3 linked regions of the Rattus norvegicus genome follow. The protein of the gene in region 1 interacts with the protein of each later gene in a biochemical or structural test. Links are inferred from orthologs where the notes say so. Each region holds a gene or a part of one and is shown in the gene's direction. Other genes may lie near its edges.

Region 1 (4,387 bases):
GCCACAGGACTGATGCTGGTTAGGCAGTGCAGCCCCGGTTTAGGAAGAGCTGTGTGGGAGCCTGGAGTCCCTTCATGGAGCCTCTTCTCTCAGAGGCTCTGCACCTGTCCCAGCTGCTAAGTTCCACTCCAAATGGGAACAGCTATTTTGGGAGCGCTTAAGCCATCAGAAAAGTGAATGGCTCCATGGAGGCTTGGCTCTGATGCACCCCTCCAAGCATGTCGCCTGGTTGGTCACAGAACAGTTTCCTTTGGGCTTTCTTATCCCTCTCCATTCCCAAATTGAGACAGGCGCCAAGAGATGACCTCTACTCACCCCCCTGCCCCAGCTTCCATAAGTAGCTCCTTCTAGAAACCCAAAGGCGGATAGATCCCCATCTATCTGCAGTATAAATAGAACCCACACAGGCCTGGCAGGTGGTGCCCCCAAGGTGGATGGGAAGCAGCCTGGCTGTCAGGCATCATCCTCTAAATATAAAGATGAGTCTGGTGGGAGGAGCTGCTCTTGGGCTGCAGGGTAAGATCTGAGTGCTCCTTAGAAGGCACGTTCATCACCACCTCTCCCTGCCTCAGCCCCCTCTAGGTTCCAACAGTTCCAGGTGGGACCCTTTGCTCAGACCCAGGGGAGGGAAACTTAGTGCCACCAGAGGAGAACGGGTATCATTTGCTCAACCTAGCCAACAAGATGCCAGTCAATTCCAGAGTTTGGGATACACATGCGCACACTGGCCCTTCCATTCCTTTCAAGAGTACACGTAGAATTCGGGGACAGCTCTAATGCCCTGGCCTCACATTCCTTGGGCCAAGGCCACATAGCCACCATGCCTCTCCCCTCACTACCTCCTCCCCTCTCTTCCACCAGTTGTCTACCCAGTGACAGCTGCATGTTCTACACTGACTGACAGCCTGTGGGGGTGAATGGGGGTGATGTGTGTCAGATCTCTGGATTGGGGAGCTTTGAGGTGGGGAAGAAAATGTTTGAATGTGGGGGTTCTTTTCCATCCCTATCTGGGGCCCATGACCCCTCCCAGCTCATCTGACAACAGGGCTCCCTCCCCTGGGCTTTCGCATCAGGGTTTGGTAGTCTGAGTTAAGAACCCGTAGGTGGAGTGCATTGTGACAAGTCAGCAATCACGCTCAGGTGGGCAGATCTGGGGAGACCTTTGAAACAGGTAAAACTTGGGAAGTGCAGATCAGTGATCGGCAAAACAGTGACCTTTGGTCCAGCCCAGCCCTTCAGCAGCCTTGGAGCCAGTTGGGAGGAGCGGACAGCTGGGATACTCTCCATATACGGCCCGGTCCGGTCCTAGCTACCTGGGCCAGGGCCAGTTCTCTCCTTCTTTGGTCAGTGCAGGAGACCCGGGCGGGGACCCAGGCTGAGAAGCAGCCGAAGGGACTCTAGTGCCCAACACCCAAATATGGCTTGGGAAGGGCAACAACATTCCTTCGGGGCGGTGTGGAGAGAGCTCCAGGACTATATAAAAACCTGAGCTAGGGACAGGCGGTCACACGGACGTGAAGCCTCACTTCCTACCCTCGGCACCCAGGGCCAGAGTCAGAGCAGCAGGTAGGGTGGAGGTGGGGAGGGTGACCTGGAGACCCAGCAGAGAAACCTATTGAGCCTTGGGCCTGTATTTGTCACTGGGCTCTGGAAATTTCTCCAAACTCATATCCAGCCCATTTGGGATGCTGACTTTTTTGCCTGGTGGGAGGGGGTGTCTGACACCCATCCATTTCCACCCTCAGACTCTACCCTCCCCCCCCCCTTGCTGGGGACTAAATCCGAGTCCTCCTGCAAGTGAGCAAGCCAGTGTTTTCCTACCGAGCCACACACCAGCCCCTGGTTGGTTGAGATTTCTCTCCCTGAATTAGTTTCCCCTCCTGCCTTTCATCCCTCTCTCCTCCCCACCCTCTTTCTCTGCTGGGATCAAATCTGGGCCCTTGTGATGCAAGAGGTGGGCTGGATCTCCCACAGAGCCAGCCCCTGGGAGACTGACTTGAAGATGAGTTTGGAGAGAGGCAAGCATTGTCTTAGCCTTCTGAGCTCAAGGCTTTTCTAAAGCCCAGCACCGTGCCAGGCTACTCTTCTCTGAAATAGGAGGCGGGTGGAAGGGTTCCTTCTGAGTTTGGAATGCCGTGGGGCTTCAAACGGGCAATTCTTTCCAGAGTTGGGACAGTATTACCCTTCCTTGGGCAAAATCCTTGCCGCTCTCATAAGACTGGCAGGTGGACCTTAATGCCTCCTTCACAGATGAGATTGAGTAGAGAGGAATAGCGCCAGCGCTAGCTGTGACATGTGTGGCCAACAGCGAAGGCTGAGGATCTCAGGATGTCCTCTGCATGCCTACATGGAGGGATTAAAGTGGCCAACAAACTGCTTCCCATAGCAAAAAGCACAGCCTTGACCTGGGAGAGCATCCTCTGGCCCTGTGCAAGGAAGGGGCTGGGGGAGAGGAGTGTGTGGATCTCCAAAGTGAAGATGGGTTAAGCAGAGCTTCACCTTAACCCCCATCACATACTCACAACGCTCAACACTTTCTCTTTGCAGAAACTAGACACCATGTGTGACGAGGACGAGACCACCGCTCTTGTGTGTGACAACGGCTCTGGCCTGGTGAAAGCTGGCTTTGCCGGGGATGATGCCCCCAGGGCTGTGTTCCCATCCATCGTGGGTCGGCCCCGTCACCAGGTCAGGCTGCTAGCAGAAGATAGGCTCTCCGAATACAGCCGGTGTTCTCCCTGCCCCCTGGCTGTAGTAACAAGTATCTGATGTCTCCATCTGCAGGGTGTCATGGTCGGTATGGGTCAGAAGGATTCCTACGTGGGCGACGAGGCCCAGAGCAAGCGAGGTATCCTGACCCTGAAGTACCCCATTGAACACGGCATTATCACCAACTGGGACGACATGGAGAAGATCTGGCACCACACCTTCTACAATGAGCTGCGTGTGGCCCCCGAGGAGCACCCGACCCTGCTCACTGAGGCCCCTTTGAACCCCAAAGCTAACCGGGAGAAGATGACTCAAATCATGTTTGAGACCTTCAACGTGCCTGCTATGTATGTGGCTATTCAGGCGGTGCTGTCTCTCTATGCCTCCGGCCGTACCACCGGTGAGTGCTCACACACGGCCCACTCTGGTCCAGGTAGCGTCGCCCCAACATTCCAGCCCAGCTTTTGAATCCTCTGCCTCAGACCCTGCACCGTTCCCATTCAATCCCTGATGACCCCCAGTCCAGAACCACTGTCCCTGCTCTCTCTGCTGGTCCCCTCCACTCACACACTGCTCCTCCCCTGCACAGGCATCGTGTTGGATTCTGGGGACGGTGTCACCCACAACGTGCCCATCTATGAGGGTTATGCCCTGCCACACGCCATCATGCGTCTGGACCTGGCTGGTCGCGACCTTACTGACTACCTGATGAAAATCCTCACCGAGCGTGGCTATTCCTTCGTGACCACAGGTGCGTGCTCTCAACGCCCCGCTGAGGGTGGGCCGGCAGAGGGTGAGCACATGCCCCAGGCCTTGCTCTGAGGCCTCCCACTGCTTCTGCTCCTGCAGCTGAACGTGAGATTGTGCGCGACATCAAAGAGAAGCTGTGCTACGTGGCCCTGGACTTCGAGAATGAGATGGCCACCGCTGCCTCTTCCTCCTCCCTGGAAAAGAGCTATGAGCTGCCTGACGGGCAGGTCATCACCATCGGCAATGAGCGCTTCCGTTGCCCGGAGACGCTCTTCCAGCCTTCCTTTATCGGTGAGCCTCCGGCTCCGCTGGTTTGCCGGAATCAATTTTCCCTCATCCCACGCCTCAGAGTACGGGGTCTCCTCCCGCCGGTGCCCTTAGTCTGACTCTGTGGTTGCTCACACTGCCTCTCCCCCGGGCCACCAGGTATGGAGTCTGCGGGGATCCATGAGACCACCTACAACAGCATCATGAAGTGCGACATCGACATCAGGAAGGACCTGTACGCCAACAACGTCATGTCAGGGGGCACTACCATGTACCCCGGTATCGCTGACCGCATGCAGAAGGAGATCACAGCTCTGGCTCCCAGCACCATGAAGATCAAGGTGGATGACGCGCCTGGTATGGGCGGAGACCAGGGGCGGGGGGAACTCGCAGGCACCTGACACTCTTGTCTTGCAGATCATCGCCCCCCCTGAGCGCAAGTACTCAGTGTGGATCGGCGGCTCCATCCTGGCCTCGCTGTCCACCTTCCAGCAGATGTGGATCACCAAGCAGGAGTACGACGAGGCCGGCCCCTCCATTGTGCACCGCAAATGCTTCTAGGCGCACCCGCGTCTGTGTACGCGCTCTCTCTCCTCAGGACGACAATCGACCATCGTGCTATGGTTGCAGGGTGGCCCCATCCTCCGCCGTGGCTCCATCG
Region 2 (3,648 bases), on another chromosome or scaffold:
GGTTGGTATCAGATCTGCAGGCCACTGCTTTCTAACCACAACTATCTTCTTTGTTCATTCGGCTTTTGAACTAAAACTGCCCAGGTGATTTCTAAAGTCAGAATCCCAGACCCTAAAGGAAAGCTAAGAAGGACTATGATTATGAAGATGCCCTCACTACTCTTGAAGAGCAAGGAAGTACAGCCATTTCCCTAGCTGAATTCCTTAGGAGTCTGGGGTGGTGACAGAGCCCGACTGCAGCTTTCCGAATTACTGTCTTCTTCCAAGTTCAGCCTTAATATAACTAGAGACTCATCTGGGAGTCCAGAGGCTTCTTTCTTACCTTTGTCATTTGGCTTGTTGAAGGCTTAGACGAAACAGACAACAAAAGGGAAGGAGAGAAGAAAGAAAAGGAAAGGAAGAGGGGAGGGAGAGAGAGAAGGAAGACTGGGAAGGAGGGACAGAGGAGCAACCCCCTGCAGCACTCTATACAGAAGGCCAGAGAGAATGGTTTTCGTGTGGGTAGTCCTGACTCACTGACGTGTAGCATTTCACTTTCATGCTGAGTGTCACTTCGGTCTACCTTTTGTGCTTGCTACACAGTAGAAGTTAATAGAAAAAAAATCACAAAATTGAGGCTTATTATGAGGAGATAGATGAAAAGATAACTGCAAATGAAAACTGCACAGGTATTAAGAAAAGCCTTTACTACAGGTCATGTTGAAGAGCAATATTATATAAGTGTATTACATATATGTATATAACATATATAATATATTTTATATAATATAATATTTATTTGAAGAAAAAAGATGGTTACTTTTTATATCTGCTTTCTAGGCCGAGATTATGAGAAGGATAAAGTTTGCCAGGAACTCTCCACGCTGGGGAAAGATGACTTCAGATCTCTGTGAGTTGCCATATCTGTAAAGTTCTCTTGGGGACATGACCTTAGACAAGTCATGTGTGCACAAGCTAACTGCCATGCTATCTAGAAGACTGAAATGGGCACCAAGATGAGGGAAGACTGTTGGCCACTGTGGACCAACAGGTCAAGCAGGTAGAGGTCAGCTGACCTGTGGTTACTGTGGTCTGAGAAACCGTCACTGGTAAATCTAAGGAATGAGTTTGTAGTGAAGCATACATACGGGTTTCTGAGATAAATTAGAACTGTCCGTTTTAGGACTCTGGAACATACCAGCAGTGACCTACAGAATATGCTTTTTGTGGGGAAGTTCAAAACAGACTCCAGGCTATTTTGATAGGAACTACAAATCCAGTTTTTTTACTGTTGTCTTAGTTAGGGGTTTCTATCGCTGTAAAGAAAGACCATGATCACAGCAACTTGTATAAAGGAAAACATTTAATTGGTTCTGGCTTTCACATTCTGAGGTTTAGTCCATTATCATCATGGCAGGAAGCATGGCAGCATCCAGGCAGACATGGGACTGACAAAGAAGCTGAGAGCTCTACATCAAGATCGGCAGGGAGCAGGAAGTGAACTGGCTTGAGCTTCAGAGACCTCAGAGGCTACCCCCTAGTGACACATCTCCTCCACCAAAGTCACGCCCACTCCAACGAGGCCACACTTCCTAATAGTGCTACTCCCTTGGGGCTTATGGGGAGAGGGGCAGCATTTTTTCAAACCACCACGACTGTACACAAGATAGTTTTTCATAGAACAAACAAATGCTCTACATACAACTTCATATTCTCACCTTTAGACAAATAGAAAAAGTTAATGCATAAAATATTTTATTTAAAAGTGGAATAGATATCCTATTTTGGCGTGAGTCAAAAATGCCAAAAAAACAAAACAAAACAAAACAAAACAAAACAAAACAAAAACAAAACAAAAAACAAAAAAAAACCCCTCAATTAACATGATCGCTTTTCTCTCCCTCAGATCACTAATCCTATACAGCAGGAAGTTTCCCAGTAGCACCTTTGAACAGGTCAGTCAGCTTGTGAAGGAAGTTGTCTCCTTAACTGAGGAATGCTGTGCTGAGGGAGCAGATCCCAACTGCTATGACACCAGGGTAAGTGTGTGTGTGTGTGTGTGTGTGTGTGTGTGTGTGTGTGTGTGTGTGCGCGCCTGTCTGTCTGTCTGTCTATCTGTCTCTATTGTGGATCAGGGAAAGGACTAGCCATAGGCCTTTATGTCACATTTTCAGGACACTCTAGATACCAAGTCACCTACTCCCAGTTAGAAGGAAAATTAAAGACTATTATTTTTAGTGCCCACATTTATCTTATTACTGAGTTCCTTTTATTCAGTGTCACTACAAGTTCCAAAAGAAAACTGACTGGATAAGGTAACTGAATGACTAAATAAATGCTGATAATGAGGACCGTGTGTCAGATTTAAATCCAGGTTGGACTCTTAAAAACTTTTAGAGTCGTACCCAAAGATTGGTGCCTAATACAATTGTCATCAGAGAGGCTCTACCCAGCAGCTGACGGAAACTGATGCAAAGACCACAGCCAAACCATTAGGCAGAGCTTGGGGGAAGCCAGCAGAAGAGGGAAAGGAAGGATTATAGGAGCCAGAGGGGTCAAGGACACCACAAGAAACTCACAGAATCAACTGACTTGGGCTCATAGGGTCTCACAGAGACAACTGAAAATTGGCGACCCTGCATGGGACTGAGCAAAGTGCTCAGTGTATATTATGGTTGTGTATCGTGGTCTTCTTGTGGGGATTGTAACAGTGGGACTGGGGGATATCTCTGACCCTTTTATCTGCTTTTGGGACCCATTTCCTCCTACTGGATTGCCTCAGCGAGCCTTCATAGGAAGGGAAGTGCATAGTCGTATTATAACCTGATATGCAATGTTTGGTTGATATCCCTGAAAAGCTTGCTTTTTATCTGAAGGGAAAGGAAGAGTAGATTGGGGGAGAAAGGGGAGGAGGCAGGGAGGGAGAAACTGTGGTCATGATATGAGAGAATGTATAAACAAATAAACTTTTAGATCACTTTAAATTTGAACCTCATAAATACAAACTCATAAACCTCTTAAAATAACTTTAACATGTGCTATGTAGTCAGTATGCATGTCGGGGTATAAAGAAAACCCATATATCAGGTACATGCTTGTACATTTGCCTGTGTTTTCTCTCCTATAGCATTTACTTAGAAATTGAAATCCTGAAGGAAGAAGATTAAAATTCAGTGTACAGACAGTAACTGATGAAGGCAGAGCTAAGGAGACAAACCTTTACTAATGAGGTCATTGGCCTAGGTACAAATAGGTGGACCTGGTTTAAAGGCCTCCACAGAACAATCAGTGTCCGTTCCACACCATTATTACAATAGATTCTGTATGGTGACTACCCTTACCCAATGACTGGCATGTGTGCCCCCTTCAGCCTCTCTTTTACATCATTTCTTTCCCTGCCAAGTTCATCGGTGCTCATCATTTCAAACTCACTGCACACCATGTCATCTTGGGATATTTGAAAACAGGAAAACCCAGGAACTTACAGGAAGCTAAAGCCAGCGATGTGAAGAGGATGCTCATTTAGTAAAGGGAGGAGAGGAGGCCATGGGAAGTTATCCTTGATTGTGGTCTAACTGCAAGAAAAAGGGGGGTAGGAAATTAGATGAGAGCCACTACCAGAATGTCTCCAAGTGTTCCTCACCTCAGAGATGCTAAAAATCCCTTCAC
Region 3 (3,648 bases), on another chromosome or scaffold:
GTATGTATATATGTATGTATATGTATATGTGTATATGTATGCATGTGTGTATGTATAAATGTACGCATGTGTGTATGTGTGTGTATATGTGTATGTGTGTATGTATAAATGTACGCATGTGTGTGTATATGTGTATGTGTGTATGTATGTATGTGTGTATGCATGTGTGTATGTATAAATGTATGCATGTGTGTATGTGTGTGTATGTGTGTATGTGTGTATGTGTGTGTATGTGTATATGTATGTGTGTATATGTGTGTATGTATGTATATATGTAAGTATGTATGTCGATATGTGTGCATGTATGTGTGTATGTGTATCTCTTCAAGTGTCATTCTCTGGGTCAGCAGCAGTGAGTAGAATGAATGCATCAGGACTCTCAGGCCCACCAGCATCTTGGTGCCTCATGCCACGACTGTTCCTACCTCAGAGGCTGTTGTGAGTCCTACATGGGCAGCATTGCCCAGCCTGACTGCTGCTTAATCATGTGACCCTGGGGTGCTGTGGGTGACTGTGGAGGAAGCACAGAATGCTAGGGTAGCTGCCCAGTGTCTGTTCCTCACCTCATCCCCAGCGACTGCCTCAACCCTTGCCCTCCTCCAGCCTTCACACCATTCTTGGGCCTCAGGCATCATGGCCACCTGAACTCAGGTTTATTCTTTCTATGATGGGAAAAGTTCCTGGCTTGCTACTGACTTGTGGACTTTCCAGTCGAGACGGAAGCCACGGGTGTAGCTGAGGTCATTCCACCCAGTGGCACCACAGCTGCCTGGTGGTGCTGAATAGGCTTTACGCCCACACCAAGAAAGGACACCAGAGGGCGCTCCAGCCCCCAGAAACTCAAAACTGCTTGTACCTGGGCCTAAGATCTGATATTGGGAGGAAGGACATGATTTTGCAGATTCCAACACACTGTGGTTTGATGCCGGCCGCACTACCCATCCTGCTGTGAGAGCTTGGGCGAGTCCCTTCATGTGTGAGCTCTGCTCTCCTCACCTGTGAGATACATGTGGAATGTGTGGTATAGTGGGTATGATCACGTGATAAACACATCCATTCCACTTACTGTTACCGTGGCTAACACGGGCCTCCTAAAATGGCCGCCTCAGCCTCCTTACACCCATCATGATTGTATGGCTAGGGTCAGTGCAAGGAGATGGGCAGATAGGGTCCTGACTGGGGTGGTCTGAGGACCTATAGAAGCCTCCAGACCCTCACCCTCATGGTACATGGAACAGGGAGACCCATAGCAGGCAGCAAGGCTGGAAGCCTTGAGTGTGCCCCAGACCTGCTGAGCATGCCAGAGGAAATCACTTCACTTCTCTGGGCTTTGGCTTAGGTTGGGCAAAAAGAGTGTAAGGTGGAGGGCTGGTGAGTACCTGAATCTGGAGCCATCCCAGACAGCTTCCTTAGACTTTCTACTGAACCAGTGTGTCGGGGGTACGGGGGCGCAGCTGGGGTAAGGAAGCCTCTGAGCAGGGTCCTTCCGAATTTGGTGGTGGCTGAAGGATGCAGGAGAGGCCTGAGGCTAAGACTGGGGAGATGGTTACTGAAAGTCATCCATTGCTGTGATGGAGGCTGGCCCTTTCCTCTACCCGCATGAAGGCTCACGTGGACCTGTGGGCTTACAGGACCCCCGCAGGAAGAAGGAGACAGGGTAATGTGGGCTAGGGGTGTCCAAGACGACCTTCAGAGATCCTCGCATGATGGGAAGGGCTGTAGTGGGTTGGATTAGCGCTTATCAAGGAGTGTCTTGCAGAATAGGTGCTGGAACGGGGTGAGGTGGAGAAGAGTGGCGAGCTAGGGAGAGACTGTGGAATATAACCATAGGAGCCCTTGGTATATATGTTCGTGCTCATTGTGTAACAGTCAGGCTCAGTGAGTAAGGAACATCCCCTACACTTTGATGACTGATCTCTTTCCTTGAAGAATAGCTTGTGTAGTGTGCCACAACGTGCCCGCCCCCTGGGGAGCGCTGGTTTTGGAGAGGAATGTTTACAGTCCTTTGATCCAGGAAGTGGCTTCTGAGATCTTTGAGGTGGAGTGTAAGGTTCAGTGGAATGTAGTGGGTAGGGAATCTAATGCTTTTTAGCCACATGGTTTTGGTAAATGTTATTCATTTTACTGAACCCCAGAAGAGAATGTCTCAGTATCAGACACAGTAAGAGTGACGTTCCTGGGTGCACTGAGTATCTATCCAGTAGTCGGAAGTTTCCTTCCCTCAGTCCTGTACCCCCTCTGTTATCTACTTCACCAGACCTCCTCCCCTGGACTAACACTGTCCCCTTGACCTGACAGAAAGGAGGCGTGGCATCTGGATTCAAACACGTGGTACCCAACGAGGTGGTGGTGCAGAGGCTCTTCCAGGTCAAGGGACGCCGTGTAGTCCGTGCCACTGAAGTACCTGTGTCCTGGGACAGTTTCAACAACGGTGACTGCTTCATTCTGGACCTGGGAAATGTGAGTCTTGCCTGCCCTTTCCCAAGGCCACTGTGGTGAACTTGGCCAGGTCTGACTCTGGGGAGGGGAAACACTGGTGAAGGGGTGCATGAATACTTGGGGGATAGAGACCAGAGGCTGACAGAGGTGTCAGGCGGGCAGATCTAGATTGGATAAGTCTGGTACTAGATTACCACATGTAGACTCAAGCTTGTCTTGCATGTGTACACGGACCTCGGGTTCCCATCACTCACACAGTGATCTTGAAATGCAGCCTCTCTGATATCTGACACACAGTTATATGCCCTTTAAAATATAGACACTCACCTCTAAGCACATGGCAGCTATGGGCAAACCTGAAGGTCCTCGTCCACTATGGACACTAACCCTACAGTGAGTGCCCACACATACAGACCTGGATGGACCCATAGTGTACATGCGACATAAACATCACAGGTTGCCTATGTACCTAGTATGTGATGCTGTGTGTGGTACGCATGCCAAGGCCTGCTTACAGGTTAATGGTGATGCTTCTCACATACTCCGCATGAGCACAAACCCGCAGACGGTTACAGCCAGACATTGTGCCCTAAAACTTCTGTGCACATGAGCCTGTGGTATGTGTAAGGGTGTTTGAGGTGCATATTCATCTGTGTACCATGTGTACCTGATCCCTACAGAGGTCAGAGGAGGGACGTGGCTCCTCTGGGACTGGAGTTATAGATGGCTGTGAGCGTCCATGTGAGTGCTGGGGGTCAAACCCGGATGACCTGAGAGAGCGTCCAGTGCTCTAGAGCTGCCTTTTAGGCTTCAGTGTAGTTTTTTTAAAGTGACATGGCAAGCTGTGCTATACTCCCAGCTGCTGTTCTGTATCTCACCCAGCGAGCGTACCTGCAAACTCCTAACTGTAGATCAGGAAACAGCATCACAGCTCTCTGCAAAGCATTGGCTGTTCCTCCCAGTCCCTCTGCCCTGAGGGCAGCCTTCAGAACTCTCAATCGGATAGACTCGGTTTGTTTGTTTTTTGGTTTTCTTGCACGTTTCTGAAATTATGTGCAGGAGACCGTCCTCTCTTATGTTGAATTCCTTTTTTCAACCGTGCATATCTGAGATTCCTCCATGTCGTTGGAGCTCACTCTTGCTTTGTGAGAGTCAACTCTACAGGGACTCAGTGGCTTCATTATTCCTGCTGTTGGTGGACTCTCGGTT

What was found.
Region 2: the proteins of Acta1 (region 1) and Gc are reported together in a solved structure, tested with the Homo sapiens proteins (2 studies listed by BioGRID and IntAct). The link is inferred for Rattus norvegicus from reciprocal best matches to the Homo sapiens genes ACTA1 and GC.
Region 3: the proteins of Acta1 (region 1) and Gsn are reported together in a solved structure, tested with the Homo sapiens proteins (3 studies listed by BioGRID and IntAct). The link is inferred for Rattus norvegicus from reciprocal best matches to the Homo sapiens genes ACTA1 and GSN.

The regions. Positions count from the first base shown.
Region 1 is NC_086037.1:68,781,313-68,785,699, reverse strand, and holds the start of Acta1 (actin, alpha skeletal muscle), read left to right. Parts: upstream 1-1,505; 5' UTR 1,506-1,566; intron 1,567-2,547; 5' UTR 2,548-2,559; coding exon 2,560-2,688; intron 2,689-2,784; coding exon 2,785-3,109; intron 3,110-3,298; coding exon 3,299-3,460; intron 3,461-3,558; coding exon 3,559-3,750; intron 3,751-3,885; coding exon 3,886-4,067; intron 4,068-4,143; coding exon 4,144-4,287; 3' UTR 4,288-4,387. UniProt on the Homo sapiens protein: Actins are highly conserved proteins that are involved in various types of cell motility and are ubiquitously expressed in all eukaryotic cells.
Region 2 is NC_086032.1:18,926,155-18,929,802, forward strand, and holds part of Gc (vitamin D-binding protein precursor), read left to right. Parts: intron 1-819; coding exon 820-889; intron 890-1,885; coding exon 1,886-2,018; intron 2,019-3,648. UniProt on the Homo sapiens protein: Involved in vitamin D transport and storage, scavenging of extracellular G-actin, enhancement of the chemotactic activity of C5 alpha for neutrophils in inflammation and macrophage activation.
Region 3 is NC_086021.1:39,015,370-39,019,017, forward strand, and holds part of Gsn (gelsolin precursor), read left to right. Parts: intron 1-2,298; coding exon 2,299-2,460; intron 2,461-3,648. UniProt on the Homo sapiens protein: Calcium-regulated, actin-modulating protein that binds to the plus (or barbed) ends of actin monomers or filaments, preventing monomer exchange (end-blocking or capping).